Tribolium castaneum: one gene and its partners. The protein of the gene in region 1 purifies or fractionates together with the protein of each later gene. This does not show direct contact. Links are inferred from orthologs where the notes say so. Each region holds a gene or a part of one and is shown in the gene's direction. Other genes may lie near its edges.

The links.
Region 2: the proteins of alphaCOP (region 1) and betaCOP fractionate together in Homo sapiens (co-fractionation; 6 studies listed by BioGRID and IntAct, with this or other methods). This does not show direct contact. The link is inferred for Tribolium castaneum from reciprocal best matches to the Homo sapiens genes COPA and COPB1.
Region 3: the proteins of alphaCOP (region 1) and zetaCOP fractionate together in Homo sapiens (co-fractionation; 6 studies listed by BioGRID and IntAct, with this or other methods). This does not show direct contact. The link is inferred for Tribolium castaneum from reciprocal best matches to the Homo sapiens genes COPA and COPZ1.
Region 4: the proteins of alphaCOP (region 1) and nudC domain-containing protein 1 purify together in Homo sapiens (co-immunoprecipitation; 3 studies listed by BioGRID and IntAct, with this or other methods). This does not show direct contact. The link is inferred for Tribolium castaneum from reciprocal best matches to the Homo sapiens genes COPA and NUDCD1.
Region 5: the proteins of alphaCOP (region 1) and deltaCOP fractionate together in Homo sapiens (co-fractionation; 4 studies listed by BioGRID and IntAct, with this or other methods). This does not show direct contact. The link is inferred for Tribolium castaneum from reciprocal best matches to the Homo sapiens genes COPA and ARCN1.

What each region holds. Positions count from the first base shown.
Region 1 is NC_087403.1:717,574-724,334, reverse strand, and holds the start of alphaCOP (coatomer subunit alpha), read left to right. Parts: upstream 1-2,848; 5' UTR 2,849-2,979; intron 2,980-3,048; 5' UTR 3,049-3,150; coding exon 3,151-3,230; intron 3,231-6,694; exon of another isoform or gene 6,695-6,761. UniProt on the Homo sapiens protein: The coatomer is a cytosolic protein complex that binds to dilysine motifs and reversibly associates with Golgi non-clathrin-coated vesicles, which further mediate biosynthetic protein transport from the ER, via the Golgi up to the trans Golgi network.
Region 2 is NC_087397.1:6,601,900-6,606,853, forward strand, and holds the end of betaCOP (coatomer subunit beta), read left to right. Parts: coding exon 1-254; intron 255-1,648; coding exon 1,649-1,923; intron 1,924-1,974; coding exon 1,975-3,178; intron 3,179-3,223; coding exon 3,224-3,298; 3' UTR 3,299-3,380; downstream 3,381-4,954. Other genes in the region: up (troponin T), read right to left, coding at 3,908-4,119, 4,191-4,269, 4,528-4,608, 4,660-4,752, 4,803-4,954. UniProt on the Homo sapiens protein: The coatomer is a cytosolic protein complex that binds to dilysine motifs and reversibly associates with Golgi non-clathrin-coated vesicles, which further mediate biosynthetic protein transport from the ER, via the Golgi up to the trans Golgi network.
Region 3 is NC_087396.1:16,250,489-16,256,099, forward strand, and holds zetaCOP (coatomer subunit zeta-1), read left to right. Parts: upstream 1-2,342; 5' UTR 2,343-2,488; coding exon 2,489-2,506; intron 2,507-2,554; coding exon 2,555-2,800; intron 2,801-2,851; coding exon 2,852-2,985; intron 2,986-3,515; coding exon 3,516-3,606; intron 3,607-3,691; exon of another isoform or gene 3,692-3,723; coding exon 3,724-3,771; 3' UTR 3,772-3,802; downstream 3,803-5,611. Other genes in the region: zinc transporter foi, read left to right, coding at 684-1,206, 1,259-1,479; Galphaf (guanine nucleotide-binding protein G(f) subunit alpha), read right to left, coding at 3,803-4,502, 4,548-4,645, 4,694-4,868, 4,919-5,085. UniProt on the Homo sapiens protein: The coatomer is a cytosolic protein complex that binds to dilysine motifs and reversibly associates with Golgi non-clathrin-coated vesicles, which further mediate biosynthetic protein transport from the ER, via the Golgi up to the trans Golgi network.
Region 4 is NC_087394.1:22,048,551-22,055,018, forward strand, and holds the start of nudC domain-containing protein 1, read left to right. Parts: upstream 1-1,953; coding exon 1,954-3,381; intron 3,382-6,468. Other genes in the region: protein IMPACT-B, read right to left, coding at 1,013-1,210, 1,265-1,498, 1,556-1,797.
Region 5 is NC_087394.1:32,202,065-32,208,707, forward strand, and holds deltaCOP (coatomer subunit delta), read left to right. Parts: upstream 1-2,322; 5' UTR 2,323-2,475; coding exon 2,476-2,478; intron 2,479-2,587; coding exon 2,588-2,627; intron 2,628-2,685; coding exon 2,686-2,909; intron 2,910-2,967; coding exon 2,968-3,147; intron 3,148-4,532; coding exon 4,533-4,744; intron 4,745-4,791; coding exon 4,792-4,953; intron 4,954-5,002; coding exon 5,003-5,213; intron 5,214-5,260; coding exon 5,261-5,475; intron 5,476-5,524; coding exon 5,525-5,729; intron 5,730-5,810; coding exon 5,811-5,900; 3' UTR 5,901-6,067; downstream 6,068-6,643. Other genes in the region: hfw (protein halfway), read right to left, coding at 811-858. UniProt on the Homo sapiens protein: Component of the coatomer, a cytosolic protein complex that binds to dilysine motifs and reversibly associates with Golgi non-clathrin-coated vesicles, which further mediate biosynthetic protein transport from the ER, via the Golgi up to the trans Golgi network.

The sequences.
Region 1 (6,761 bases):
TTTGCTCAAAAATGGTGAACAAAGGCTAAAATTACTTAATTTTTCTCTAATTAAGCGATTTGTCAGTTTAGTTGAGTAATTTTTTTTTAAGGAATTCCGATTTTAACAAAAATATTGTTACTACACAAAAACAGCCTTTAGACAGCCCCAGTTAATTAATTTTCAAAAACAAAATTTTTTAAACAACATTTTTCGTATAAATAGTTGTTTTCAGCTAACTTGAGCAAAGTTTAATCATATTTTAATAAATCTGCCAACACAAGTGACTATCACTCAAAAAGAATGGTTGGATTTTCAAAAAGGAAACAAAAAAGCAATATTTGACCGTGTTAAGTGATGTTTGAGCGAACAAATTTCGCAAAAAAATGCTCACAAAGTCAACGCAAAGTCGCTATTTCGCTGCCAAAAATTTCACTTTGAAGATTTCAATTTTAATTTTTCCTACTACCATCACTATCTTTTAATTATTTGGATTTATAATTAGAGAAGGTAGCTTTTTTTGTGTGATTGATAAACTAGTGCAAATTGTAGTGAAAAAAATTGAAGATAACATCCACAAAAACATTCGTTCCAATTCTTGCCTAAATTCTGATTGTGTAAATTTTAAAGACTATTGTTCCAACAAGAAGCAAAATGAGAAAAAATTACCACTAGCAGAGCCTAGCTAAAGTGACAGCGGTCCCATTTTTTTTTGTTATAACTCGGTCAACTACTTTATTCAAAGTCCAAGCCTTTTTTATTTTATTTATTATAGAGCTGTTTGTCTCTGTAAATAAATAAATAAATTTCGTACAATCCGGTATAGTCTTCAAATACTCTTAAATACCTCATACAACTTTTTTTGAACATTAGTTGCCGAAAAAAATTTTACAAAAAAAAATGATGGACCCTGGCTTAGTATGTAGTAAAAAAACATGTTTTAGGCAAGACCAAGAGCCGTCTGCGTCCACAAGCAACGCTGAAGAAAGACAAAGTGAAACTTCTGCATGCGTTACAAGTCTGTACAGTCACCTAACAACGTTGCGTAACTTAAGGGACGGCTTTATAGAACAACATGGTTCAGAGCCTTCAGTCAGCCTCAGGTATTCTCAGCAAAGCACGGCCAATGCTACGATCAGTTTAAGAGTTGGTAGTAGATAACGAATGGGGGGACAACACAACACAACCTTGACCTTGAGTTTGACCCCGCCCATTTTCCCTCTCTTTCTTTCAAGGTCACTCGTTCTCTCTTACTTTTTCAAGGCCAACCCCTCCCACTTCCCCCCACCATTTCAAGGCCAAGGCATTATTGGACCTTGGTGTTTTCAAGGTCAAGGTCATTCATGCTACTCCCCACTTTTCCAAGGCCAACAACTCCTCACTCATTCAAGATGAATCGCGCAATTGTCCTTACTCATTTTCCACCCCAAACTGTATAAAAGTTAATGTGTTGTGTTGTGTAACACAGTTCTTGTGTATATCTGCAATAACAAGAAATTCTTTAAAAAATGGAAGTTACAAGGAAGTGTTCGATTTATAATACTCCTGGTAAGTTTAATATTTTTTTAGTAGTTTAGTTGGAAATAATTTTTTTTCAGAGGATGTCATAGTTTGTCCATACGACAAAAACCACGTACTGCTCTGGTTTCGGCTTGAAAGGCACATTTGGAAGTGTCATCGGGCCGATAAAGAAAAACAAAGGGCCTCATGTGAAGTGATGTTGAAAGAAGAAGAGGAGAACTGGGATCATTTCAATGAGCCCAGCTACCTCGACTTCCTAAAAACTAAAAAGAATCATAATGCCTTAAATTAAAGAAGTAAGTTTTATTGAATCTTTTTCAGCAGTAATTTATTGTGAATTTTTTAGGGCCGGGGTTCTTTAGTAGAAAATAGTGTAGAATAAGTTTAGCTAAGTAGTAGTAGTCGTAGTAAAATGTAAATATTATATTATTGTATAAAAAAAATAAAAGTTGTAAAAAAGCTACATGTTTTTATGTACACCTATTTCAACCTACTGATACAAGTAAGTGTGACCTGCAAGCAGAGAGTCGCTCACTGTTTCAATGACAGTTGGCTATCCAAGGTGCCGGAGGACAACAGCAGCAATTTGTTGCAAAATGGGTGATTAATTTTGCTAAGAGAACTGGCTTTTCAACCTTTTGCTCAACGTGTGGACAGATTCAACATTTGAAAAATAAATGTTCCACCAGATGCAACGACACAGGTAATCACTTATAATTTAGCGAGTAACAGTAGTATTGAGACCTTAGAGCCAATTTTTTGAGTATTTTTGAAAGAAATTCACGAAATTGCGGGTCTCGAGGAGTCTTAAGCAAACTCGTTCACATGAATTATTTTTTAATTTCAAAGCACTCTAAAGTTTTTTTTAAATGAACGCTTATTATTTACTCCACTGTACCACTGTACTGTAGTATTAGCATCTACTTCATTTTTATTATTACCACCCAATGAGAGTTATCGAAAATCGGAAAAATTGAAGAGAACCGAAGTGAAAAGCTTTACAAAATGGCATAGGTTTCAAGGCAATATTTCGAAAAAAAGTTTTCTATTTTTAATCGTCGATTACGGCCAAAATAAAAGAGCTAAGTAGGAGGAAACGCTTTTTTCCATCGTAAAGAGTACATCAAAATCTATCAGATAAGATGGATTTTAATAATTGATTTTGAGACACTTGGCCATTTTTAAAGGTGGGGGGGTTAATATATTTTTTAATTTTTTCATTTTCTCAATTACAGCAAAATTATCCGAAAAAGTGGAACTATATTGATCCTAGTTTTTGTAAAATGATGCGGGGAAATATCTAGTTTTTTAATTTAAAAGAAAACCTGATTCTTGTTCAAGTTTAACCTTGTTTGCAAACCTGCTGAAAACCAAAAATCCCTAAATTGCTACGTGTTTCGTGTCGTGTTTTTTTATGTTCGATAAATGTCAATATTGGTTTTGTGGAATGTGTTTTTTAATCCAAAAAAATTACTTAAGGTACTTGTCTATTGGCACAAATACTACTTTTGGTGTGTTGTTATTTACTACATGTATTGTTTCTTTCAGTGATTTTATAGATTACTGTATGACCTAACTTATAAATTTCCAAAGAGAAACATAACCTCAAAAGACACGTCAGCTAGCTGGGGATTTTAACCAGTTTTCAAAATGTTGACCAAATTTGAAACAAAATCAGCCCGTGTAAAGGGCCTATCATTTCATTCGAAACGTCCTTGGATATTGGCAAGGTAAGTTTGTAGTTTAATAAATCTAATCATTTTTTGCGATCATACAGATCATGGCACAGCGGTATTTCTGGCTCAAAGCACATACCTATCTTTTGTATTGAAACATTAAAATATTTGTCGTACATTTTTTAAATCTTCACTACTCAAATTTGATATCAATGTTGGCAATTAATTATCTGGGTTTGTTTTATTCTTATCTGTTAGCAGCCAACTACTTGAATAACACATGGCCGGTTTACGGAACAAGGGGCTAAATAGGGTTTTAAAGTTTCAGGTTATGTTCACAAAGGGGTTTTCAATTTGTATATGTCGTAGTCTTATAGTGAAATTAGGCGTATTATGAAAGCCTAGTCATATTGTAAACGACTGGGCAAATTGTAAATGAATAAATAAATGTAGGGTTTTTAAAATGCAACTGAAAAAATTTTAGGCGTATTATAAAACGCCTAACCAGTTTTCGTCTTATTGTAAAATACCTATGGTTCATTTGCAATACGACTGAAACAAACCTGCATTATTTTGGAGTATTATAATGCGCTAGTCAGTACTACTGAAATTTAACTTTATATTATAAATTATCGTCTTAAAATGCTGGAAGACACGAAAAGCAATGTCTTTATAGCAATATATTTATTAATATAGGTTTGTAATATCAAGAACTACAAAAAATTAGCCTAATTATGTTTACATATATCTTGTTCAACATTGAGATTTATGAATGCGCGAACTTTTTTCCAGCATTTTTTCACTGGACACATTTCGAGCTCTATTGTAGCACAACAAAGCTACCACTATCTAATTTATCAGAGCCGGTCAAAGCGCCAACTTTGCATAAAGGAACATCAAAACATTAAACAAATTTACCAAGTCTATATAAACTTAACAAGATTTGTTATAGTTTAGTTTCTTTACATCGCTGACCGGTCGTGGTCGAATTGGTTCCCAGTAATCTCTATAAGTATAATTCTGTAAAAGGTAATGGTCGAATTGGTTCCCGGGTGATGGTCGAATTGGCTCCCGCATGAGCAGGTAGGTAAAAAGGATTAAGCCAAATATATGTTAATATTTTAGATTTAAAGCTTGTAGAAATTTTCAAATAATTATTTTCTTGGCACAAAATCCAACAACAAATTTCATTTATTCATGGCTAACTGGTTATTTAAAAAAAGGAGAATTTAGTAATTTTTTAAGCCCAATGCTCTCCTGTAAATTTCGTAAAATGTTTCGTCAAGCAATGACTATTAAGACATCTCACATGATGACGTTGCGTTCGTTAATATGTCTATTAATACTATTAAAGCATCAAAATAGAGACAAATTACAAAAATAATTTTAACATTTTTCGACATAGTACCCATTAAGTTCTATGCGCCTTCTTCATCGTTTTGGAAGTACTTGAATACTCGAAGAAATATTTATCCGCAGCCTTTAAATTGTTAAAATACGATTTGTTTTTTAACGTTTTGGAACTTGTAAATTTGTTCATACACTTACAAACGCCATTTCTGTTATAATACTTTAATCTGTTTACCTGACCTACCTGACCGATGGGAACCAATTCGACCATCCCCGGGAACCAATTCGACTCGTCCCAAAAATTTACAGTGATAACGATAATTGATAAGTATAAAAAGAAAAAATAACCTCAAATTCAAAATACTACAGGGTGAATTAGTGATAATAATAAATAAGTATTTCAGAGGGTTATAGTAGTAATAGTAGAATTCAAAATAAGCGAAAATAACAACTTCTCTTATCAGAATGTTTACAGTTATTGAGATATAAGAGAGTTTTTGTCGACGAGTAAATTTAAATTTAGAGTGCAATTTTTTTAAATTTTTTAAACTACCTAACTACATTAGAAAGTGGAATTTTATAAAATGTTTGATGGCATTTTTGGTTCTTTTACAAAACGACTAAATGTAACCCAGTCTAATTGGACGATATTAAAGACCATTTTACATTAAGACGAAAACTTGTTAGGTGTTTTATAAATTTTATAATACACCTAAAATTTCCAATAGCATTGTAAAAATCCTATATTTATTCATTTATTCATTCATTCAATTTGCCCAGTCGTTTACAATATGATTAGACTTTTTATAATACGCCTGATTTTACTATTAGCCTACGACATTTATACCGTGACTTATACCAACCTATACACAGTATGATGATCATTGGGACGTCTCCATATGTGTGTAAAAAGGCGCACTGTTCACTCACTTATAGAAAAATATTAATAGCATTAATACGTAATCATTTTCATCACGTTCAGGTAGAAACAAATGTCGCATTTTTTTTTTAAATTCATTTATCTTGAACGATATACACAGAACAGAGGTAAGAATGTGCTGTAAATTGTAAAATGCTAACTGCTCTTTTCTATCACATACCGCCAAACAAGTTTGCACAAGTCAGCTAAATAATGGTGTTACAATAATAATGCAGTAAAATTAAATTTAATAGAAAAAGACGTTTACAATAAGTGAAACTTTAGTTTTAGTTAGCAAAAATAAAATTTAAAAAATTTCAAATTTGTTTTTGATAAAAAATTCAATTTAAAAGATGCACTGAAAAGTAAAAAATAATATTTTTCTATTAGAGAAGAATACTTCTGGTTACAAGTTGGTATTCTAAAATTTATAAAAACTCTGGGAACGGTCATATCATAAATTATAAGTCATAGTCACAAGTCATAACAATAAGGCATTACAGAATTAGTTTCTTGAATTCAGCACTGTTCCCGAAGCTTTTATAAATTTTAGAATCCTAACTTGTAAGCAAAAATATTCTCCTCTGGGAGAAAAACATAATTTTTTACTTTTTAGAGCATCTTTTAAATAAGATCTTTTTTCTAAAAAATAATTAAAAAAAAATTTTCTTAGTATCATTCTTTACTCCCACACAATTAATGTTAGGATGACAGGGCTAATGAGTAATGAGTAATGACTAATGACACTCGAAAACGAATTCTCATACAAGATATATTGAATAATATGTATAGGGGGTGTTGGTTTTTTGAGCTCCACCATGGGGATCTCAGTTATTATAAGACCTACGTGGTCGGTTAAATTAGGGCAAAGTTGCGCATTTATATGCTGAACAATTATCTGAAAGAAAATTTGATGTGTCTAAAACTCCAACAATTAATCATTTAATTTAAATTAACGAAAAAATATTTATTGTTTTATAAATGAGCTGGCAATGAATTTTGTCGAATTTCTTTGATATAATATTTATTAATTTAGCTATCATTTGTCTTACAAATATTTTAACGTAATTTGTTACAGACGAAATTGCTGTTGATTTTATAAATTCTATATAAATTGAACAAAGTTAAAAATGAACAATAATCTTAAAACAAGCTATTTTGTTAGGTGGACGAATAACAATTAGTTTGTTACTCATTAAATCATTATTGATTAACGTATTAAAGGTGAATGGGTTTAGACAGGATTAAATAAAGATTAGAAAAACTTTATTTTAATTTTCTTGACCAGGTTAAACAAATAATGCACTAAACCATAC
Region 2 (4,954 bases), on another chromosome or scaffold:
AAATGGTCTTGGTTTTGAAGAAAGAAGTTGCGAAAACGCACGATGTTGAGCATGAAGATACCGGAAAATATAGACAGTTGCTAGTCCGGACTTTGCATTCTTGTTGTATTCGATTTCCGGATGTTGCAGCAACTGTTATTCCAGTTTTGGTCGAATTCTTATCTGATACAAATGAGCTTGCAGCCGTTGATGTTCTGATCTTCGTCAGAGAGGCGATTCAGAAATTCGATAATTTGCAGCCGCTCATCATTGAGGTAAGAAAATTCTTTGAAAATTTGAAAAATTGGACGTTTGACGTAAGTCAACTCTCGATTAAGAACGGTTGTTTGGGTTATTTCATGGTTATTTGATTAGATTATTTGTAAGATCTCAATTGTCGGTAATCAAACGTTTTGCTATGCATTTCGTTTGATTATTAATTTTGTTTTATTATTATCTGAATGTGTTTAATCATTGGAGCGTCAAATATCGAAAATGACGCACACTTGATTAATGATTACGCATTTATTTCTATATAAACTGCAAGAAATAATCGAATTTAAATTTTTCTTTTCCGTATAATCATTGATTTGAGTTCTGTCGTGACATAAATCAAGTCACAATTTTTTAAAAAAGAAAAAATACGAACAATATTACTAGTGCGTCCATATTTTATGAATGAAAATCATGAAAAGGTCATCTAATTAAAATATCTGGGTCACATTTCGGTCGATTTTTTTTATGAAAGATGATGCTTTCGTCTTACGTCATTTCCAATGCGATGAGTAGAAGCAAAAAAATTATTAATTAACGTAAGTATTAATACGCATTGTGATTGGCCTGTTTGAGAAAACAACCACTTTGGATTTTTGGACTCATTCCAATTTAGAGCAATTGGTGAACTTCGACTTGGTTGATTTACTTATTATAATAAACATGATTTTTTTCTGATATTTAATACGTGTCTCTTATGTACTTCATCACGTTAGGTTTCTGAAAAAATTATTAAATATTGTTATAAAGCTTTATTAAATTTCACTGTATCTGAGCGTTTTATTACTACGAGTAAAAAAGAAAAGTCATATTATATGACATATTCAAACATGTATAAGAAGCTGGTTAAATCAAAAAAGCATTGCTATGCCGAAAAACATTGTTAATAAAAATTATGGCCACTGCGACACAAAATGACAGCAAACAATCGGTATTATTTACTTCACCTTACGCTCATATTCTTGTGAAAAACGCCGAAAAAATGAGAAAACTTTGCTTCCTTATACCTTTTTCCATATTTTTATCTTTGACGGTTTACTTTTAAATTTTAATTGTGAGACCAAAATTTTGTGATATGGTGAAAATTATCCCAGCGACAGTTTGGGGCCAAGATATAATTAATTAAATTAATTTTAATAAATTTAATTATTTAATGAAGAAAGATTTTAGTTTCGTTGCCCTTAGAATGTTAACGCAACGTCTCTTTAAAATTGAACTATTTTGCGTTTCTTGGTTTATGGGAGCAAAAACTATTGGTAAAACAATCCACAATCACGTAATAAGAAACCAATAATTTTAAATTTTAATCATTTATTAACATTATTACAAAAATTTATATATGTGAAAAAAAGATTCAATGATGCCCGAGTGTTTGTCTTAAAAAAATATTTTCCAGAAACTCCTCGAAGCTTTCCCCAACATAAAATCGGTGAAAATCCACCGAGCCGCCCTTTGGATTTTAGGCGAATACGCAACAACTGTGGCCGACATCCAGTCCGTACTTAAAGCCATCAACCAAACCCTAGGCGAGGGCCCCCTTCTGGAAGCGGAGCAACGTCTAGTGGCCGGAGATTCGGAAGAAGTCACCCAACCGAACCCAACACAAGCTTCCAGCACCCTCGTCACTTCTGACGGAACTTACGCCACCCAATCAGCCTTCAACACGGTTCAGTAAGTAGTCATTTGTCGAGAGAAAAGCCCGGTTTGTAAATCAAGCTTTAGGAAAAGCACAAAAGAGAAGCGGCCCCCACTTCGCCAGTATCTAATCGACGGCGATTTCTTTATCGGGGCTGCGATCGCCTCAACTTTGACCAAACTGGCTCTAAGGTACGGCAGTTCGGTTAAAAATGCGGTTGAAAGGAATCGGTTTGATGCCGAAGTTATGATGATCATGGCCGGGATTATTCACTTGGGGAAGTCGGGTTTGCCAACTAAGGCCATGACCAATGATGATAAGGACCACGTTTTATTCTGCTTGCGGGTGCTTTCGGACCGGCAGCCGAGCATTATCAAGGTTTTTACCGACTTGTGCCGACAGGCACTTAACGACATGTTAGTCGCCAAAGAAATTGAAGAAGCACTCAATCAGAAAGCGAAAGAAAAGGCTGGTAATGTCATACAAGCCGACGATCCGATCAATTTTATGCAATTACAAGCCGACAAGTCGGGCGAATTGGGTGAAAACGTCTTCGAAACGTCCTTGTCACAAGCCTTGGTTGGGGGCCGAGTCGGCGGCAGTGACACAAGCACTGGGGTTAACAAGCTGAACAAAGTGACTCAATTGACCGGCTTTTCAGACCCGGTGTATGCCGAAGCCTACGTCCATGTCAACCAGTATGATATTGTTTTGGACGTTTTGATAGTCAACCAGACCAACGATACGTTACAAAACTGCACCCTTGAGTTGGCAACTCTCGGCGATTTGAAACTCGTGGAAAAACCGCAGCCGGTGGTTCTGGCGCCCAAAGACTTCTGCAACATTAAGGCCAACGTGAAAGTGGCCTCGACCGAAAACGGGATTATTTTCGGGAACATAGTTTATGACGTCACGGGAGCAGCGTCCGACCGAAACGTGGTGGTCCTGGACGACATCCATATTGATATTATGGATTACATAGTCCCGGCCACTTGTAGCGACTCGGAGTTCAGGCAAATGTGGGCCGAGTTCGAGTGGGAGAATAAGGTTTCGGTTAATACGACCTTAACCGACCTTGCGGAATATTTGAAGCACTTGATCAAAAGCACCAACATGAAGTGTTTGACTCCGGAGAAGGCCCTGTCAGGGCAGTGCGGTTTCATGGCCGCCAATATGTACGCAAAATCAATCTTTGGAGAGGACGCTCTCGCTAATTTGAGTATTGAAAAACCGTTCAACAAACCTGATGCACCCGTTACTGGACATATCAGGATCAGGGCCAAGAGTCAGGTTGGTAGCACTGAGTGTGAATCACAGCTGAGTTTGTTGTTGCAGGGGATGGCTCTGAGTTTGGGTGACAAGATCAATATGACACAGAAGGGGCAACAGAGTAAAGTTATCGCTGCATAATTTGTATTTTATGGTCGTATTAATATTAATAAAGTTTATTTGAAAAAATGGCTTTGATTACGGAAAACTCGCTTTTTCTGAATCCAAAAAATAGAGTACTTATACCGTCTCAGCGCCAACTCTTTAAATTAATTTAAATTCAACCAATTCTGAGAAAAACTGTATTATTCTAAAATAAAGTCACTGTGAGAAAAACTAATGACTGAAATTTTCATAAGAAACGTGAGAAAAAAAAGAACATTTTCGCTTCGTGCCGTATTTTTCAAAACGCTACAAAATATTGGCAAAGTGCAAATTGGTAGAAGTTTTTTTTTTTAAATATAAATAACGATAAATTTTGCGTTATGTTTAATGCTTTATCATTTATAAAATTCATTGCTCAGAAAACAGACGATAATGAACGACTGCGCTCTCTGGCGGCACTAAGGAAACTATCAAGGACGGGACCGTTTTATTTGAACGTGGTTTCGTATCCTAACCTTTAGACCTCCGTAGTTTTGATGTAACGATATTTATTTGATTATAAATACAGTTTATTATTGGAAACGAAAATAAAATAAGATAAAAAGTACATCATGGACGTCGGGACAAAACGATGTTCTCGCTTGCTTATTCTTCTTCTTCCTCCTCGTCGTCCTCTTCCTCTTCTTCTACCTCAACCTCCTCTTCCTCTTCCTCCTCTTCTGGCTCGGGCTCGAACACCGGCTCCTTGATGTCTTCATCATCATCGGCGGCGTGTTTGCCCTCTTCTTCGCCCTCAGGGGTCTCAGGATCGCCCTTCTTCTTGCCGGGCCTTTCACCGAACCATTTGGGAAGTTTGGCTAAAATACAACGTTTCAGAACCCGCCCTTGCCCACATTGGCACAAATAAGCAACCAGCAGCAACTCTTACATTTTTGCCTCGAATCGAATTGCCCAATTTTGTCTTTCCAGAGTTTTTCATTGGTTTCCTTGGTAATTTCTTCGTAACCCTGTTAAAACGTAAAACGCACACTCAGACATGGCACAGTACAGTTTTGTGATTAGAAAAAGGACACGAGACAAGTGATTAATAGCAAAATGGGCACAACACAACGGATATGCCCACTTACTTCTCGACCGACTTTCGAACTCGCCCACTTTCTCTTTCCAAACTTTTTCCAAAAGTTCCATGTTTAGGTGGTCAAAGCCCTAACAGAAACGGTCACAACGCAATCATCGGTCCTTTTTTTGACTTTTGTAATACTTACACCCTCAAACAGTTTCTTCTTGTCGTCGTACGATCTGGTGTCGACACGACGCTCATATTTGGACGCTACTTGGATCTTAGGCTACAAAACACAAAATTACAAACACTTAACACAAGAATTAATAACACGTACGGGGTATTTGCCGGTGAGAGCCTCGGGGTCCAAGCCCTTCTTCAAGGCCTTGTGCCTGAGTTGCTGCTTTTGTCTCTCTTTCAATTCTTTAAGCTGTAAAATTACGTTATCCCACTGTGCCAATATTATGTTTGCGGGCTTACATCGTAATCCTGGCGTTTCTGCCTTTCTTCCAAGTCATATTTCTCAGTTTCGAGCTTAACGATGCAGTCCCACAACTCCTGGGCCTTTTCCCGGAGCTTGTCCACGCTGAGGTTGTCAAGCACCAAGGGCTTGATGCGAATGGATAAGGAAA
Region 3 (5,611 bases), on another chromosome or scaffold:
AAAAAATAAATAAATAAATAAATTTAAGTTATTTTGGAACTAAACCGTACGCCACTGATGTGTTCGCAAGTAGTATTAGCTCAGTTAGTGGAAAGTATGATAATTATTTGATGACAATATACTTGTTCAATGAAACAATGATCTTTGTGTACTAGTTTTTTTTTATGAAATCGGCGATATTTTTTTCCAATACAACTAATTTAAACTCATGAGCGCCGTACGTGACACTGATTAAAGGATTTCTGCCCCTACGAAATGAAAACGTAAATATGGTTCAGACATTTTTATAATTTGACGTTTTGTTTTTAAGACAAATTACAAAAATTAAAGATTTTTCAAGAAATTGTATCGCATTAGTGTTTTCCAAAATCATTTATACCATGATTAAAAATAAACACTGAAATTTTTAGCCTGCATTTGAAAAAAAAGCAATTCAAAATGCACCTAAAGTCCTAAAGTGCACTTTCGAACTATGTATCTTTGTGGGGAAGTCCCGAGTCTTTATTTAGTTTCTGTATTTGTACAAGTGAAGTGATTCTCTACAATCTTCTGAACTCGGGGAATACCTACACTAACTTTAAGACAGCCTGTATAACCAATGGTTATAACCGGATTCCATTGTATTTTATACCAATTTTATAAACAAAAATTGTGCTTAACATAATAACTCAAAACATATTTAGCAAGCGGCCAAGGGCGACTCGTCCGAAACCGCGATATCCAAAGACTGCGAGAACGGTGAAACCAACCAGAACCTAACCGAGTGTCCCAACGACCTCAACACCTCGAACAACTGCACCGAAATCAACAAGATGCTCCCACACATCGAAATGGCTCCTCACGAGGAACCCGAGGCCGATTACACCGTTATTATAACCGAGCACGGGGCTGTCCACCATGGCCACTCCCATCTCCATGGGCACGTCCATGCCGCCCCCCAGAACTTCTCGTCGGTTGCATGGATGGTGATTATGGGTGATGGTCTCCACAACTTCACTGATGGTATGGCGATAGGGGCTGCGTTTTCGGGGAGTGCCGCTGGGGGGTTTTCCACCGCCGTGGCTGTCTTCTGCCACGAGTTGCCCCATGAGGTGGGCGACTTCGCCATGCTGCTCAAGGCCGGCATGAGTATCAAACAGGCGCTGTTTTATAACATTATTTCAAGCATCTTGTGCGTGTTGGGGAATTTGCTGGGAGTTTATTTAGGTTAGTTTGGTGGTATATTGTTTTTTTTTTATTTCAATATTTGGAATTTTAGGGAATACGGAAGTTGCCAGTTCTTGGGTGTTCGCAGTGGCGGCTGGAACGTTTATTTATATTGCGCTGGTGGATATGATACCAGAGTTGAGCTCGGCACATGAAGATGAAGGGAATTTGATTCAGTGCATATTGCATTTGAGTGGGCTGTTATTAGGGTTTGGGATTATGACGCTGATTGCGTTGTTTGAACATGATCTTAAGAATATGTTTAGGGAATAATGACTTTATAATTCGTTTCTATTGGCTGTTTTTTATTTTATCTGGTTTTTGATACTGCGTGTTTACTGCAAAGACTTGTTTTTTTTACAATCATCCCCCTTCTTCCTTGTGCTGCTACTTAGGTATTAGTATTGATTAAGACTTACCTATATTATGTAAACCCACATGTAATGACCAGTATTGGTACGCAAAACAATAAAATTTATTTAAATATGAACAGGATTTTATTTCTTCCAACAAAATTATAAACGTAGAAAAGAAAACAGTTACTACATTATTAGTTAAACTTAAACTTTAGATAATTATTGATTACCTTACAAAACTAATTATACTTTTATTTTTTCAGTTTTTTCATGACCGCTTTACAAGTCGCCGCAGGTAGGCCTGGTAATTAAACAAATTAGTCTCAAATTGTAAACACGGAATGTTTTCCATACCTACGACCTTAGACAATTTCCTCGGGGGCATGTTTGGGTCCTTTTCGAGGACAGCTCTAATTTGTTGTACTTTTTCGGGGGTTAGAAAAATTTCCAAGTTGGGTAATTCCGGTTCTCTAATACTACCAGTTGCTCGAAGCCGATCAACCAATTGGGGCACGTATTCTCGTAACATGTCATCGCTAAAAGTGGCCCCAGGAAACTCATTTCTAAATTCCTGAATACACTTTTCTGCAACGGACTCATTATACAGCCATCCTTCATTTTCCTGCCACTGGGTGTTACGGCTGTATGACTCAAACAGGAAAATGTTTTGCTGCGTTGTGGGACATATTGTTTGGTCCATTTTGTCGTATTTTAAAATCAAAATGATCAAAATAACAATTTTCAAATTTTCACTTGACAAATGACAGACAAATACCAACATCACAAACCAAATTCCCATCTTCTGTCAATTGTCAAATTTTAGACACGTACAAAAATCAAAATAAGCCTGATTTTGCCAGTATTTTGCAATTTAATGAAATAAGCTACAATTTGTTACGTTAATTAATTGCCACAAGTCGAGAAAAATGGAAGGAACACTGTTGGTATGTGCGAGTTTTATTTGTGGGGGCCCACAGTACCCGTTTTTACAGGAGCCTACGTTGTACATGGTTAAAGGAATTGCAATCCTCGACAATGACGGCAACCGTATTTTGGCTAAATATTACGATAAAAACGTTTTTCCCACGGCTAAGGAACAGAGAGCCTTTGAGAAAAATCTCTTCAATAAGACACACAGAGCTAACGCTGAAATAATCATGTTAGATGGTCTAACTTGTGTTTATCGCAGCAATGTTGATTTATTTTTTTATGTTATGGGTAGTTCGCACGAAAATGAAGTAAGTTTTTCAGTACTTTATTTATTTTTTGTTAATTATAAATCGTTTCAGTTAATTCTAATGAGCGTTTTAAACTGTCTCTATGACTCTGTTAGTCAGATTTTGCGCAAAAACGTCGAAAAGAGGGCCGTTTTGGACTCACTTGATATAGTCATGTTGGCTATGGATGAAATTTGTGATGGGGGGTGAGTTACACATATTGGATTAATGAAGAAGTTTCCCTTCACTGGCTGTTCCTGGGAACGTACCCCAATGTGGCTCCATCTGTTTTATTGTTGCATTTTTGTTTTACTAATTCATTTTGCTCTGACAACAAATAACCGTAATCCAGAGGGTGATTCTATTAAGGCATACATTAGAAACTTCTTAACTTCCAGTATAGCTAGAGTTTATACAATACACATCGACCATTCCAAATTCAGCTAAAAGTTTAATCGTACCAGAAATTAAGCCTTAAACAAATGTATGTCTGTAAATTAATATTGCCTGTTGTGTTTTATGATGTAGTTTTTTTTCTAATTATTAATAAAAGATGTTTTGTTTCCACAAATTATTTCAAAAACTTAGCTTAATGTACTAATTAACAACTATGTAGTATATGCAAAAATGCACAAAATATAGGGTGTACCTGCTGTAGGTGAGGGGATACTTTCTTCATTATGTAATTTTTTTTAACCTTTACAATGTAAGTTATTTACATATTTTTGTATTTCAGTATTATTATTGACGCTGATTCAAATTCAGTTGTGTCGCGAGTGGCTCTCAGGAACGACGATATTCCCTTGGGAGAGCAAACTGTAGCTCAGGTAACTAATGCAGTCCATTCAATTTTTTGGTGAAGCTTTTGTCATGTTATGCTAAGTGTATGAGGAAAAATTAATTATAAATATGTAATATGTAATAACAAATACGTTTATTTATAGGTAATACAGTCGGCCAAAGAGCAACTCAAGTGGTCTTTGCTTAAGTAAAGTATTTGTGTAAACTTGTAATAAATTTGTATTAGTAACTAGCAATGTTTTTTACACTTTCCTTAATTATCATTTCGTGGACACTATCAAACACTTTTTTAACATTCTGAGTGTCTGTAGCGATAGTGTGGTGGATATAAATATCCCTAGGGGGCAGCTTCTCCTCAGTTACTGTTTTTGTAATTGGATTATAATTTTTCACTGTTACTTGTATTTTCGACATTTGTGTTATCTTCTCCTCGAGGAAGGCTTTCGCATTATCCACCGCAGAACCCAGAGTTTTATTAAAATTTTTGTACTCGGGGAAGTACTTTTCCAATTTTCTCCCGTGCTCTATTTTCCTCTGGAAGAGGTCCTGTTTGTTGAGAAAAACAATCATTCCAGCCTTTCGTAAAAACCGGCTTCCACACATGTCTCTGAAAACGGACAAAGCTTCCTCAAGCCGATTTTTCGATTCATCTTCTCGTAGTGTTTGATCGAAGTCACTCGCTGCGATTATGAATAAAATTGCGTCAATTCCGTCGAAAACTTGTATCCATTTGCGGCGTTCCCCTCGCTGGCCCCCTACATCGTACATGAGGAAATTGGCGCTTCCGCCCCCGTATGTTTTAGGGACTGGGACGCTGAACTCAATCTCCGAAATGGAAGTGGTGCGAATTCGGCAAAACAGAATGTCTTGAGTTGAGGGGATGTAGTCCGGCTTCCTAATTTCGTCAATACGGTCTAAGAAACTGTTATTTATTTAAGAAACCGTTTCTTTTCACCTAAACACTTACTGTTGGGCGCTGTCTATTAACTGGTATTCGTTTGAGCGCTCGAACGTTTTTTGCACTCCTTGATCGTTCCAAAGGCTCTTCACGTTATCAAAATATTCCTATTAAAAAATATGCAATAATTATTCAATTATTAGTTCAAATTGTACCTCAGTGTATTCCTCTAGTTCTTCTGGCCCCAAATCTAAAATAAATTTGGCGCATTCTTCATTTCCGCTCTTCTCCAGTTTTACAGGAGGATTAATTTTATCCATGTTGTAAACAATATCATAGATAGACTCGTGAATATTTTGCTTGATGTATGGAATTTTTTGTTTCTTTTCTCTACATTTTAATTTTTTGGACTTACTCTTGACAAAAAAAGAAATACTCACTCGGTTGAAAATCCATTAATGTGCAAAATTTTCATTTGTTTAATGATTGTAGTTTTTCCAGATTCACCTGTACCCAAAAGTAGTAATTTGGTCGATCTTTTGAAACGTCTGTCATGTTCTCTTTCTTCATCGTTTTCTCTATTTTTGGGACGCCCACAACCAAACATTTTTATTTTTTAACCAGGTTTTCGCATACCTGGGTGGATACGTGATTATACTTTATCTGAAGTTCCCTTCAAATTACTTAATCTTATCTACTTTTTAAGAAACACTTCCATCATACATCAGATTAAAAAATAATAATATGTTAATAAAATCAATGGTTTTTATAAATAAGTACTTTGGTTGTGGCAGAGATAGTGAATAAAAGCTGGAATTACATAAAATATTTGATAAAATATTTGATTTTGAAAGTCTGCGACAAAAGTTGTCTCAACAAAATATTGATAAGGTTTTGTAAAAAGGGTTAATCTTTAAACAATCAGTAATAAAGCTGATAATGATTTAAAGACAAGTGCTTGTTGCCAAATAAGGCAAATTAAAAATCACAAAACGATCTCCAGGAGGCAACCGTTAAATTTATTTGTCAAATAAAATTTTTGTAATTGATCTTATGCGTTTATTACTAATGATAATGATAACATGTAATAATTAAGGCTACTAAAATAACTTTTTGCTTATGTTTTATTTAGG
Region 4 (6,468 bases), on another chromosome or scaffold:
AATATCAAAAAAGTAAAAAACACATTTTTATGTAAAGTTTTCTGCTTTACAATTTTTATTTAGAACTCAGACTCTTAGTTCTTACCTATTTTGAATAATTTTGAAGTCACTTCTCAGGCGTCAAAAACAATTTCTTTGATTCAATGTCTTTTATAATAATATATTTCAAAAATTATTGTATACCAGGTGAGGCAACCTTATGGCACACTTAAAAAAATCGCGATTTCTTATTAAATAAATTAAATAAAAAAAATGCATTTAACATGCCTAACTGTGCGTTCGAAAGGCATCTCCCCTAATTTTTTTGTAACTTTCCAGTTACAGATAAAGATAATAAAATTAAAATAATGTAATTTTCAAGCAAGAAGTCAAATTCTGAATTTTATACAAAACTACGCGTATTTACTTCAGATAATTGTTTACGAAATTAGCGAAAAAAAATACCAATAAAACCAAATTAAACCACCAATTAAACACACTTTCACATTTTAACTTTAAAAATTATTTTTATTTATAGAGTTGCTACTTCTGGCGTCGTAAATTTAGGTGATAATGAGAGATCTAATCATTAATAGCTATTTTACATTTTTATCAATCTTATTTAAAAAAATAATTCGGTAAAATGCGACGTTGGCGTTTTTATAGATTTGATACAGCTAGTACTTTTCTCAAACATTTGAATTAAAAGCTTTTGTATGAGAGTGAAAAAACTTATACAAACTGCGAAGAGCACATTAAATGTAGATTTGTCGATTATCGAAGATGTAACGTAATAAGTTTATTTTTTCGACAGCAGAATTAACAAAAAAACAAACTTCATTGCTATTGAACAACTTTACCCATTAAGAAACTTCACTTTGCGGTTAAAAAACTAAATGAATAATTATTTTCAGTAGAATAAAGCACACAGACATCTGCTATAGAAAAAAATACATTATGAGCTAGGATTATGAGTTATTATTGTTACCAACGCACCCCATTCGACTCAAACGACATAGAAAAAAACACTCACCATCTAGAAACAACCACCATCACATTGGTTACATTCAAAATTTGTAATAAATGTAAAACACGCCCTCCGGCGTGCGTTTCACCATCGTCATCGCAGTCTTGGAGAATGGTTCCCTGAGAAGTCAAAATTCTATAAGCTGAGATGTTATGAGTTGCTTGAGCAATTTTTTTATTATCAAGTAAAAAATTCATAAATTCTCTATAACAAAAAATTAAATAGAATATCATTCAGTAATTTGGACATGTAAAATACCTTGTCTCTTCTAATGAGTGAACCCGAGCCATGTGACCCTGAAAAACACTTTTTCTGTCTTGTATAATATCCCCATGTATCACTTGTAAAAAAGTTTCCTTCCTGACTTGTTTCTCTTCAACTTCGCCATTTAAAACTTCTGGCTGTGGAGCACTTAAAACTTCTGAACACTCGTCCACAATTTCCTTTAACTTTTCAATCCACTGAAACAGAATAGGGCTTCCCTGGCTACTTCTAAGAAATCATAGTTCAAAAATAATTGTAAGAAGCATAAACACTTCTTGTTCATACTCGTAAATGTTACCAAATTCATCGGAAATTAGCTGCTTCTGCTCTGACGTTAATGTAGGAGCCAATAACTCAAAACTTGGGGGCTTGCTTGACGGATAATCATCATTCAAAGTTATGAATAATTTAACGTTGGGATTAATTTGAATGCTATAACAATTCGTGTCCGTCTCCAGCCGCCAGTTATCATCGTAAATAGATTTCAAAGCTTCAAGTTCCTCACACTGTTCCGCTAAATTATCCATTTTTTTGGAAAACACATTTTAGTTTTGAGGTTATGTTTACACATTTCTGTCATACGTCAGTCATACTTTGACAGTGCGAATTGAGGTTATGATTTTTATTCCAACAATTGTCTTGTAATAATAAATTCAGTGCCACACAGTATTTAATTACACAAGATGCAGTCTCACCCGAAATTAATGGAATTGCGTCCTGATCGATCATTACTGAACTCTGATTTTGACGGTTATAAGTTGTCTTTGGCCGAGATCCCCACAATTAGCGAGCAGTTAAAAGTACCAGTGGACAGATTAGTGCCTGATGTAAATCAGTATTCGTTGCTCCATGCAAAACTCTTTGCTCTTCACAATCATTTGATTAGCGAAAATGATAATGAATCAGTTTATTTTGTTGATAAAGAGTTGAACGTTCAAAAATTTAGCATTGAATCATTGACACACACATTCTGTAAAACAACCGTGTGGACGCTACCTTTACAGAGAGAAAGGAGCTTTGGGGATTACAATATTTCCCTGAAATTTGCCTCAAGTCAGATTGCCGTTGTAGCAGATGGAATGGGCTATCTTTACGTATTAGACAGGGGCTGCAGAGACATTGACGATAAATGGAAGATACTCTTTTCTGGGGACGTGACAGGTCCTGATCAGAAGTTTGTTGTAACTGATGTGGTTTTTAAAGAGGCCCCAAAACCACATTTGCATTTATTACTAACCAGTATAAGACAGAGGGAAGCGAATGAGAGAAATTCAACAATTTTGCACTGGATAACTTTGGAAAAAAGCGATTCGTGGAACCAAGTGGCTTTGAGGGAACTAACAGTTAAAGGCTTCGTCCAGTACGCAAATTTCGAACGCACTTGTGACGCAGTTTACGTAATCAGCGATGATGGTTGCAAATTCACCCTGGATTCGGAAAATGAAATCAAAAAAGCCGAAGAAATTCAAGTTGAAAAGAAATACAAGTGGAGCCAAACCAGTGAAGATTTGACCATTAAATTTCCACTTCCTGAAAATTTTAAGAAAAATTTAGTCCACGTAACCACCGAACCAACCCACATCTCGGTCAAATACGAAAATGAGACTCTCCTAACCGGCAAATTGTATCACCAAATAGACCCTGATGTGACCTGTTGGACCATTGAGTCAAGCACTCTCGTCCTAACTTTACAAAAGTGTGAATCCGGCCTTATGTGGCCAGAAATCGTCGAAGGTGGCTACGTTTTTGGCGAATATTTGCCAGATCCGGCTTTAGTTAGCGAAATTGCGGCGAGATTGGCCCCACTTACGAGCGATACCGAGATGGGGCCGCCCACAGGGACCACTTTCAACAGCCAACAAGTGGAAGAGTGTGACTTTGAGTGCGATAAATTGACTGTGTTTGAACGAATTTCGCGCGATTCGCATGAGGTCACCCATAAAATCAACTTGGGGTCACATCAAGTCCTGCTAAGTGTTGGGTTGGAAGAGAACCAGCCGTTGGCTGTAGGGATCCGAAGTGATGTTGATACGTGTATCTGGCAGCCGACTAATGAAAATGAGTTTCGATTGGTTCATAAGGGTACTTTGCTAGCGCTGGGTTATATTCAGGTGAGTTAAGATATATGGAGGACTAAAACTAAGTGGCGAAACGAATTTGAAAATCACCCAATTTAACCGACTCGGCTCCAAATTGATTAAGTTAATTTAAATTTATGACTTGCTCAAAAATACTTGTTTAAAAAAATTGCAGGAATGTTGGCTTTTAGTTTTTAATCAGCTGTACAAAACTCACGGCTATTATTTTCAAAAGTAATTTTTTTTATCGAGCATTTCACAAAATTTACATATTTAATGTAAAATTGTAAAGCGTGGTAAATACAAACAAACTCTACAATTTAACAAATACAGATTTACTAATCGATATTCCTAATTACAAAAAATGTTTTTTTAAGGTAGCTAAACGTCGTCAGATTTAAATTGGCAAAACCAGCATATTTTCATTAAATACGTTAACTTAATAATTTAGTAGTGCATTGATGACCTTTTGTTTTTCTCAATCACTTTAAGCTTAAAAGTATCTTCAAAATCAAACTAGAGCAAGAAATCAAGAAATGTTTTTATTAATTTTAGTAAAATATATGAGGCATTTGAGAACACTTTTGAAAAGTAAATTCTTTTAATAAATAGATGTATTTTATTTAATTTTTAGTGTTTCGACTGATACGTGTATAAGTTTTTTAAGGCAAATTTTTACTAAACAACAGGGAAGTTTTATAAGGTGTTAAATAAATTGGTACTTGACCAAATCGCACATAAGAATTAAATACATTTTAATAACATATAGTATAAAAAAAATCACACATAATACGTATACGTGTATAAGTAACTTAACTAAGTTACTAATTAGTAATTTAAAATGTTGTGAAGTAAATATGGTCTCTTAAATTGTCTATAAAGCTCTGCTTTAATTCTAAAGAGAAAATTATAATACAATTTAATTTTTTGAGATATCATAAACTTCTAACGAAAAGCACAATTGATCGAACAGTGATTTTAGAATATGGATTGTAATTTAGTTTTTTATTTTAACCTTTTCATGAACGTTATTCACTTTCGGTCTTTCTTTTATACAGAGTCAGTTTAAAGTAACACATAAAATTCGTAATTCTTTTAATTTTAAAAAATAAGACAATGCAAAAACAGGTAAGTTAGCATTTTAATTGAGCTTAAATTTGACCTGACTGCATCAGTCATGGCGGACAATATGGCGGCACCATGACGTCATCACAGAATTTTTAAATGGAACGGTATAATTTTTCTTATAAAATCAGAAGCTCTACTAATAAGTCTTTACAATATGGATGAACCAAACACGTAATTTTTTTTGACATCATCATTATAAAGTGACGTATAAAATTCATATTTCTTTTATTGTTCAAAAATGAAAAAAATGCAGAAACGGGTAACTTAGCATTTTAATTGAGCATAACTGGATCAATCATGGCGGCCAATATGGCGCCGCCATGACGTCATCAATTTTTTTTTAATGAAACGATATAATTTAAAAAAAAATAAAAAAATTATTAGTCTAAAATAAGGTATAAAATTCATATGAATTAGATGCTATGACTTAATCCAGGTAGGTCAGAATTTAACTTAAACTTAACTTAAAATACTAAGGACCGGTTTATGGAAACATCATTAATTTAATTCGCAATTAAATGGATGATTAACGGATCACGTGACCAAATTGAAGCAGTTTGGTTGGTCCATTCGCGTTGTTAACTTTTAACAACGTAATTAGCTTTAATTGAGCTTTTATTTTAGCTTTTAGCTTTTATTTTAGAATTCCAAAATTTTTTTCCGCGTTTGGTTTACTCATATTCAAAATAAGTAGCACAGTTGTAAACGCCTATTAGTAGAGCTTCTAATTATAAAAACGGTACCGTTTCATTTAAAAAAAAAATATAATGACGTCATGGTGGCGGTACAATGGCCGCCAAAACTGATCTAGTTCAGTGAAATTTGAGCTCAGTTAAAATGCAAAGTTACCTGTTTTTGCATTTTTTTAAATAAAAAAATTCCGAAATTTACTCTGTAGGTGCTTACACTGTTTTTTTAATTCAGTCATTGCACTGCATTGTTTTTCTAATTTGTTTTGGTTTTTAGAATACATCGTTTTAAGTTCATTTTCTTTTGATTCGTCATAAACTCATAAATTTGTGTAAGCGATTTGTCAGACACGTAATTGTGTACATCTTCATTCTCGGATTCAGATATATTAGGATATTTTTGTTTTTTTACACATTTTTTTTATTCTCTCGTAATTAACTTGTAACCCCATTCTAAAATAAGTATCCAGTTTCATAAAAAATATGCAAAGGGATAAGGAAAGCATTTGAAATTCCAAATACGATTAAAAGTTTTTAAAGATACATGAAAATATATATCACTAATGTGCTTAATGTCTATAGTTTTGTGGAAGGACTTGAGCAAAGATTGCAGAATCCTTGATGCCGGATACTAATAAATGTATTTTTTCTTCATTTTTAGGGTACCTAGTTTTTGCCAAGAACACTATAATAATTATTAGCCTTAAAAATTGCAACTGCTCCAAGTTTTACTTTTTCCTTCCATGCTTAATTTAAATAAATAACATCTTTGAGCATTTAATTTCATTATTCAATAATGTATTAATTAACTAAATCGGACACTTGTTATGGAACGGAGGGAGTATTATTAATATTTTATCTGTTGCCTTAATTTTTTCATCTAATTCTTGATTTTCTATATTTTTATGTTTGAGCATCCGTTCTGACTCTCTAGCTCTTATTTGGAAGTTAATAAAAATATGGAATTAATTTTCTTAAAAAAGGTTCCGCACAAATGCCTCTACCTTTAATGGAAGAACAAAACCGTCGAAGATAGAGTGTTCGGTGTTGCGCAATTTTCAAAGGAAATTTGATTCTTTACAATTACAGCATTTTTACAGTACTTATTCTCGACGTTTTCTCGTTAGTTTTTGCATCTGAGATGCTCTTCAGGGCAATAATTTTTAATTTGTTGGTGTTTTCTAATAATATAATTTCATAATAATATATTTCATAATTCATAATTTTTTAGCTATAGAAAATTAGGTGATTTTGATTTCGGTTCGCCTTGTAGTTTTAGTACTCCGACTTTGAATAATGTTTC
Region 5 (6,643 bases), on another chromosome or scaffold:
GAACACATTAAAATGTGTCAATTGCTTCCACAGGAAAAAGCAATTTGCTTTGATACAGGATATAGGCAACTTGTAAACAATAGTAAGAGCACTTAGTACTTAGCCATATAGTACTTAAGTGTCAGAGAGGAAGATGCAATGAAACATACCTTTTCACTCAGGTAGAGGAACACAATCAACGGTACACATTATTCTTTGGCCATAGAACTGTTTTAAGCCTTTACTACAAAGTTACACAAAGACACTATGGGACGAGATGTTTTTAACAGAATTAACCTAAACATAACACACTACTATAGCTTTTGCTATGGCCTTGGTACGGCCTTGATGAGGCACACGGAAACGTGAACATAAAATGAACATAATAACAGATAAATATAGTAAACTACTAATGTTGATATCAAGGCGCCATCTATTTGTTCTCCACTCTTTACTCCCAATTATTATTGTTAATTAAACTTTATTCAGTAATTGGATCAATGAAACTCGCTGCCCACACCTCAAACAAACTTCCATTACTCCATTTCAAAAGACCCCATTCAAGGAAAATCAAATATTTTGAATATTTCCTCACACTCTACTTTTAGAACACGCTTATATGACCACCAATACTCGCTCTATATTGCTGGTAGATTATTTTTCAAAATTTAGAACCACCCATTTTCAGTCCTTTCACTCCTACCCTTATTTTTGTATTGATTATTTTACACTTTTATCTATTCTATTGTTCTGTTGCTTAAATCACTTATACAAAAAAAGGAACATTTGTTGATTATTAAAGTAAAGTATGATTAAAAAAAAAACACTCACTAAACTGATGTGTAGTAACAGTAGTCTTGTGAGCTTGTGACTGCACATTATTCATGTCAATTGACAAACATATTGATTTCTTGATGAGACAAACAAATTATAAATCCTCTACCACCAATGTTTTATTCATGAAATAAAAAATGCTTCAAACTCAGTACCTAATCATCAATTTTAACACATTCCTATGATGGATTTACAGTTTTCAGTGCAGTCTATGTACAAATTTTTGAATACACTGTAACCACCTAAACGATAATTTTCAAACTAATCGGGGTATTGGAAAATATCGAACTGAAACACACTTGCGTCAGAAAAATGCCAGCAAATAATTGCTCAACAAGATGTGCAAACTGAAGGAAAATTCAAGAGCCAATCGAAAGAAGAGTAATAAAGTAAAGTAATTATTTAGTTTGAGATATTTACCAAACGCACTATTAATAATGGTTTACAGGTAGATAATAAATAACAGTTAATCGTGCTGGCTGATTATATTTGTTGATTATATCAGCTTAAAGTAATTAAAAGCTTCTTGCTAATACTCGTACCTAAAGTGTAAAAAATTAAGTAAACGAATGAATAACAATATCCGACAAATTATTGTGTTAATAAAAAATTATTGTTGTTTATTTTTCTCACATTTACAATTTTTTTGATTACCATTGATTACCTTTAAAAAATGAGAAAATAATATAATATATCGCACAAAAGTCAGACTAACACACGTTAATATTATTCTAATCTTAAATTTTTGAAATTTGACACTTTACTGTGGCATTTTTGTATTGTTTTCTATCTTTAATTAACATTTGCAGTAGCATACAGGAAAATACTATGTTTTTTTCATAGCCTTATCTTATGACTTTATGATAGACAAAGAATGGTTAAAATTTTTTACTTATTAATCAGAATGTAATAAAAAATAACTCTGGCCTATATTTTCGTGATCTGGTAGCCAAGATAAAAATTTTGGAATGTTTGATATTAAAAAAAATTTAAATTTTCAAAATACTTGCAATTTAATCACGATATTTTATTTAATCATTTTTATTGCACTAGCTATACTTAATACTCAAATAACCCAAACCACCCACCTTAGAAATAAAAATAACTTGTAATTCTAGGCCGCAATTTTTTTTTGATATTCAATCAATTTGTTCAGATACATATCTTTACAATATCATAATTTACTATAATCTATTAAGACAATTTAGTTTGCTGAAATATTCTTAGGCCATAGTGGATAATAAAAAACCGAAAATATTTTTTTTTAGTTAGATACAATTTATTATCTGGTTTATTTCTAAAATAATTACGTTTTTTTTTGCTTTTTTTCACATTCCTGTATTGCTATATTTTAGTAGGAACAAATTACTAAATAGCTGAAGCAACAAAAAATATAAAAATAGAGCAGTTATTGACTTATTTAGTTTGATTTTAAGTAACTTATGAGTAGAAACTGGAGCATTTTCGAATTTTGCGCCTAGAGCTGGTGCAGTGAATCGGCGTAAGGTTGGCTGACTGAATACGGTCACGTCACTGTTTTTCTCATTCAACAGCAAGCACAAGTCAACGTCATCTTAAAAAATTAATAGGGTGTAATGTTTTGTAAAATATTATTTTAGTTTTTAGGAACATAACAGCAACAGACCTTTCACAGTCTCTAAAATGGTGAGATAATCTTTCACACACCACACAAATCCAACCTTTCACAATTCCAATTTAAAATTTCCAAGTTGCCATTTTACGCATTTTCTCACGTTATAACATATGATTTCAGGTGCTCATAGCAGCGGCGGTCTGCACTAAGGCCGGTAAAAGTAAGTACCCCACATAAACCACCGAACCATGTGTTGCAACCTTTCTCTGCCTTTCCAGCCATAGTCTCTCGGCAGTTTGTTGAGATGACCAAAGCCCGCATTGAGGGTCTCCTGGCGGCTTTCCCCAAACTTATCCCAACAGGAACACAACACACCTTTGTAGAGACCGACTCGGTCCGATATGTATATCAGCCACTTGAGCGCCTTTACATGCTCCTGATTACCACAAGAGCTAGCAACATTTTGGAAGATTTAGAAACTCTGAGGTTGTTTGCGAAAGTGGTAAGCTGTCCAGACCCATGGAAGCCACAAAAACATCCTCACATTGTCATTATTTTAGATTCCCGAATATTGCCGCTCATTGGAAGAAAATGAAATTGCGGAAAACGCATTTTCCCTCATTTTTGCGTTTGATGAGATTGTTGCTCTTGGGTACAGGGAAAGCGTCAATTTGAGCCAAATTCGCACATTTGTCGAGATGGATTCACACGAAGAGCGGGTCTATCAGGCCGTCAGACAGGTAATAAAATTGCTAAACTGGTAAAATCATTTATTATCAAAGTTTGTACAACAACGGACACGGCTATTATTTCAAATTTGCTATTTCATGATTAGATTGCCTCACAGAAAATAAATTAACAACAGTTCTAGAAATTGTAATGCCAAAAAGTCGTAATTCCAGTTGGCAATACTGAATTCTAATTTTAAACAATGTAACTGAAGTATATTTCTGGTTAAGGTTTTGGATTCTGTCATCAGTGACAAAAAAAGGGAATTTTTTGGTTAAAAATTATTAAAGCCAAGAAGTTGTAATTTCAGATGGCAATACTGACTTTTAATTTTTAACCATGTAACTCAGTATATTTCCCGGTAAGATTTTGGATTCTGTCTTAAATGAAAGCGGTTTGAAAGAAATAAACAAAATGACAAGTTTTCAAAGATTTTGTGTTAGTCACAGCTCTTAAAGTAATTTTGGTAATAAAGCAAATAACTCAGTATTGCCAATAAATTTTTTAAGATGTTAAGTAAAATTCCTCCCAATTTTAAATTTTTATTTGAGGTATAAAATCAGATATAATAAATTTTTCGACACATTATTTCATAGTGACCCAGTAGAAGGTGAAATAAAAATTAATTTGCTGTTAAAAGTTAATTTAACAGTTAATTTGGTAAGTGATCACTGATCAGCTGTTCTAACGTTTAAGTGAACGAATTCATCGCTAATACCTGTCTCACTATTTTTTTTTGTTACCCTGATGGATTTTATGTTGAAAATTAATAATGGTATAATGAACATAAAAAGAATTGCTGTAAAATCTAGAGTTCTTATAATACCATAATAATATTCCGTTTCACATCAACATAAAGAGACTATGCTATTGTTTGTATAACTTGTTGATATACCTACCAGGTGAATAAAGAGAATGAAATCTAACGTGTTTTTTTTTGCTTAAACTATTTACTTTTTGGAAAAACTACTAGCAGTGTGATTAAAGAAAATGTTTATTTTTTTGTATGTGTAGTTTTTGAATTTTTTACGACCCACTTATTTATCCACTGGTTTAAAAACTATGAAAACTTAAAGACAAGCGTTATTAAATTTTTAAATTGCTTTTATTTACAATAAATTCAAGATTTAAAGTTTCACGAAAGGAAAAACATCTTATTCAGACAGAATGTTTAGCTTGGGCATAGAAAGCCATTTCCGATATTTCTGCACTTTTAAACCTCCTCACGGAGGTCTTAGGGCGAATAAAATAGAAACAGAAGACATGAGACATCTAACATTTGATAGAAAGCATAATATTTCTTTTAGAGCCCTTTCCTATAATTGAATTAAGGCATGCTGTTTGTATAGATTCGAAACCAATGTAATTTCTGATTTACGAACTGACTCCTCTTTAGACACAAGAACGCGAAGCTAAAAACAAAATGCGTGAGAAAGCTAAAGAATTGCAACGCCAGCGAATGGAAGCCAACAAAAAGGGCGTCAAACCATCATTTGGTAGCAGTGGAGGCTTTGGTAGCTCATCTGGTTATACTCCAGCCCCTTCAGTCGGCGATGTTGCCAATATTTCAAACGATATCAAACCACCAGCTTATTCCTCCGCTCCTCAGTATGTTAAAAACATCCAAAAAATTTTTTTTTAAATTGATTTAATAGGAAACCTTCGACTCGAGGAATGAAACTGGGTGGCAAAGGCCACGACGTTGAGTCTTTCGTAGACCAGCTTAAATCCGAAGGCGAAAATGTCATTGCACCAGTTAATAACAGTATTTCACAAGGGGGAATGAAAACACCAGCGATCAAGTCCGATATTAATGAGTAAGAAAATAAACAGAATAGAGTAGAAAGTGACTTGAATTATTTCCAGTGTTCACTTGAGACTGGAGGAAAAACTAATCGTTCGAATGGGCCGTGACGGCGGTGTGCAACAATTCGAGTTGTTGGGGTTGGTGACACTGCACATTGGGGACGAAAAGTGGGGGCGAATTCGTGTCCAGTTGGAAAATAAAGACACGCGTGGCATCCAGCTCCAAACTCACCCCAATGTAGACAAGGAACTTTTCAAACTGCGTTCCCAAGTACAAACAAACCAAAAAATTATTGTTGATTAATTTCGTTAATTTAGATTGGGCTCAAACAACCATCCAAACCATTCCCGTTGCACACAGACGTCGGTGTCCTGAAATGGCGATTGCAAAGCACAGATGAGAGTTTAGTGCCTCTCTTGATCAACTGTTGGCCGTCGGAAGTGGGCGATGGCAGTTGCGACATCAATATCGAGTACGAACTTGCCGATCCGAATTTAGAGCTGGCTGATGTCAATATTTTGATTCCGTTACCGTACGTTCATAAAATGTGATCCCAGTATTTTATTGATGTATTATTTTAGGATGGGTTGTAACCCGGTTGTGGGCGAATGTGATGGCTCATACACGCATGAGTCAAGACGTAACCAGCTAATATGGAATCTACCTATTATAGATTCAAGCAATAAAACTGGATCGTTGGAATTTAGTGCGCCCCGATCTATTCCTAACGACTTTTTCCCGGTGACAGTTTCTTTTAGTTCGAAATCTGCTTACGCAAATATTAAGGTGAGTTTTCCTGTTTACGTCACCAGCACGGCGAGTGCGTTAGTAATAGGTCGTGGTTTTAAAGACGTTTTCTCGTTTCAGATTCTTGATGTATTAATGGTGGACGATGATTCTCCTGTTAAGTATTCTGTTGAAACTAGCTTGTTTCCCGACAAATATGAGATAGTGTAAGTGTCACAGTAGGTTACGATAGTTAATGAAATTATATAATAATAAAATTCACTTGTATAAATACTACTAATATTTTATTCGTTCTTGCTTTTTGTACAAAATTTTAAGAAGTTTGTTTTAATTTTTATCTATTATATAAATAAAATAAGTCAGGAGTATATTTATAACCCGTTGTTTCATTCCCGCCAAATAAAAAAAGACTTGCTTGAATAAAATTTTATTAAATAATAGTTAATCACAAATCAATTATGAACTACACAGAAAAATCAAAAGCAAAGTGCATTTATTTTGGCAGATTTTCTAATACCTTTTGAGCCAAATAATCCGTTGCATCACAGGTTACTGTTTTTTTTGGTGCGAAAATCTATTTCATGAATCGTTTGTACTGTTGTAGAAATATAAACATTGACAAACACAGTCTTATATTCTTGGACAACACAGAAGGTCCCCTATTCAACTTCAGTGAACAAAATAAATTAATTTGTGTCAACATGTCTCTTTTATTTACAATTTATGAACACAATTTTTACGCTTAAAGTGATTCAACGCAAATTTACGGTCGCAACTGCAAGAAAAATTGTCACTCTGAAAAATGTACGACACATTTGTACTTCGTCTATCATTTTCAACTGTCCTAGAACTAGTTCTAAAGTATCTTACACAAGTGACCTAGGGAATCAACCAAAAATATATTACAGGTCACTGCACAATTATTATCGGCATTTCTCTTGAAAAAGTGGTGT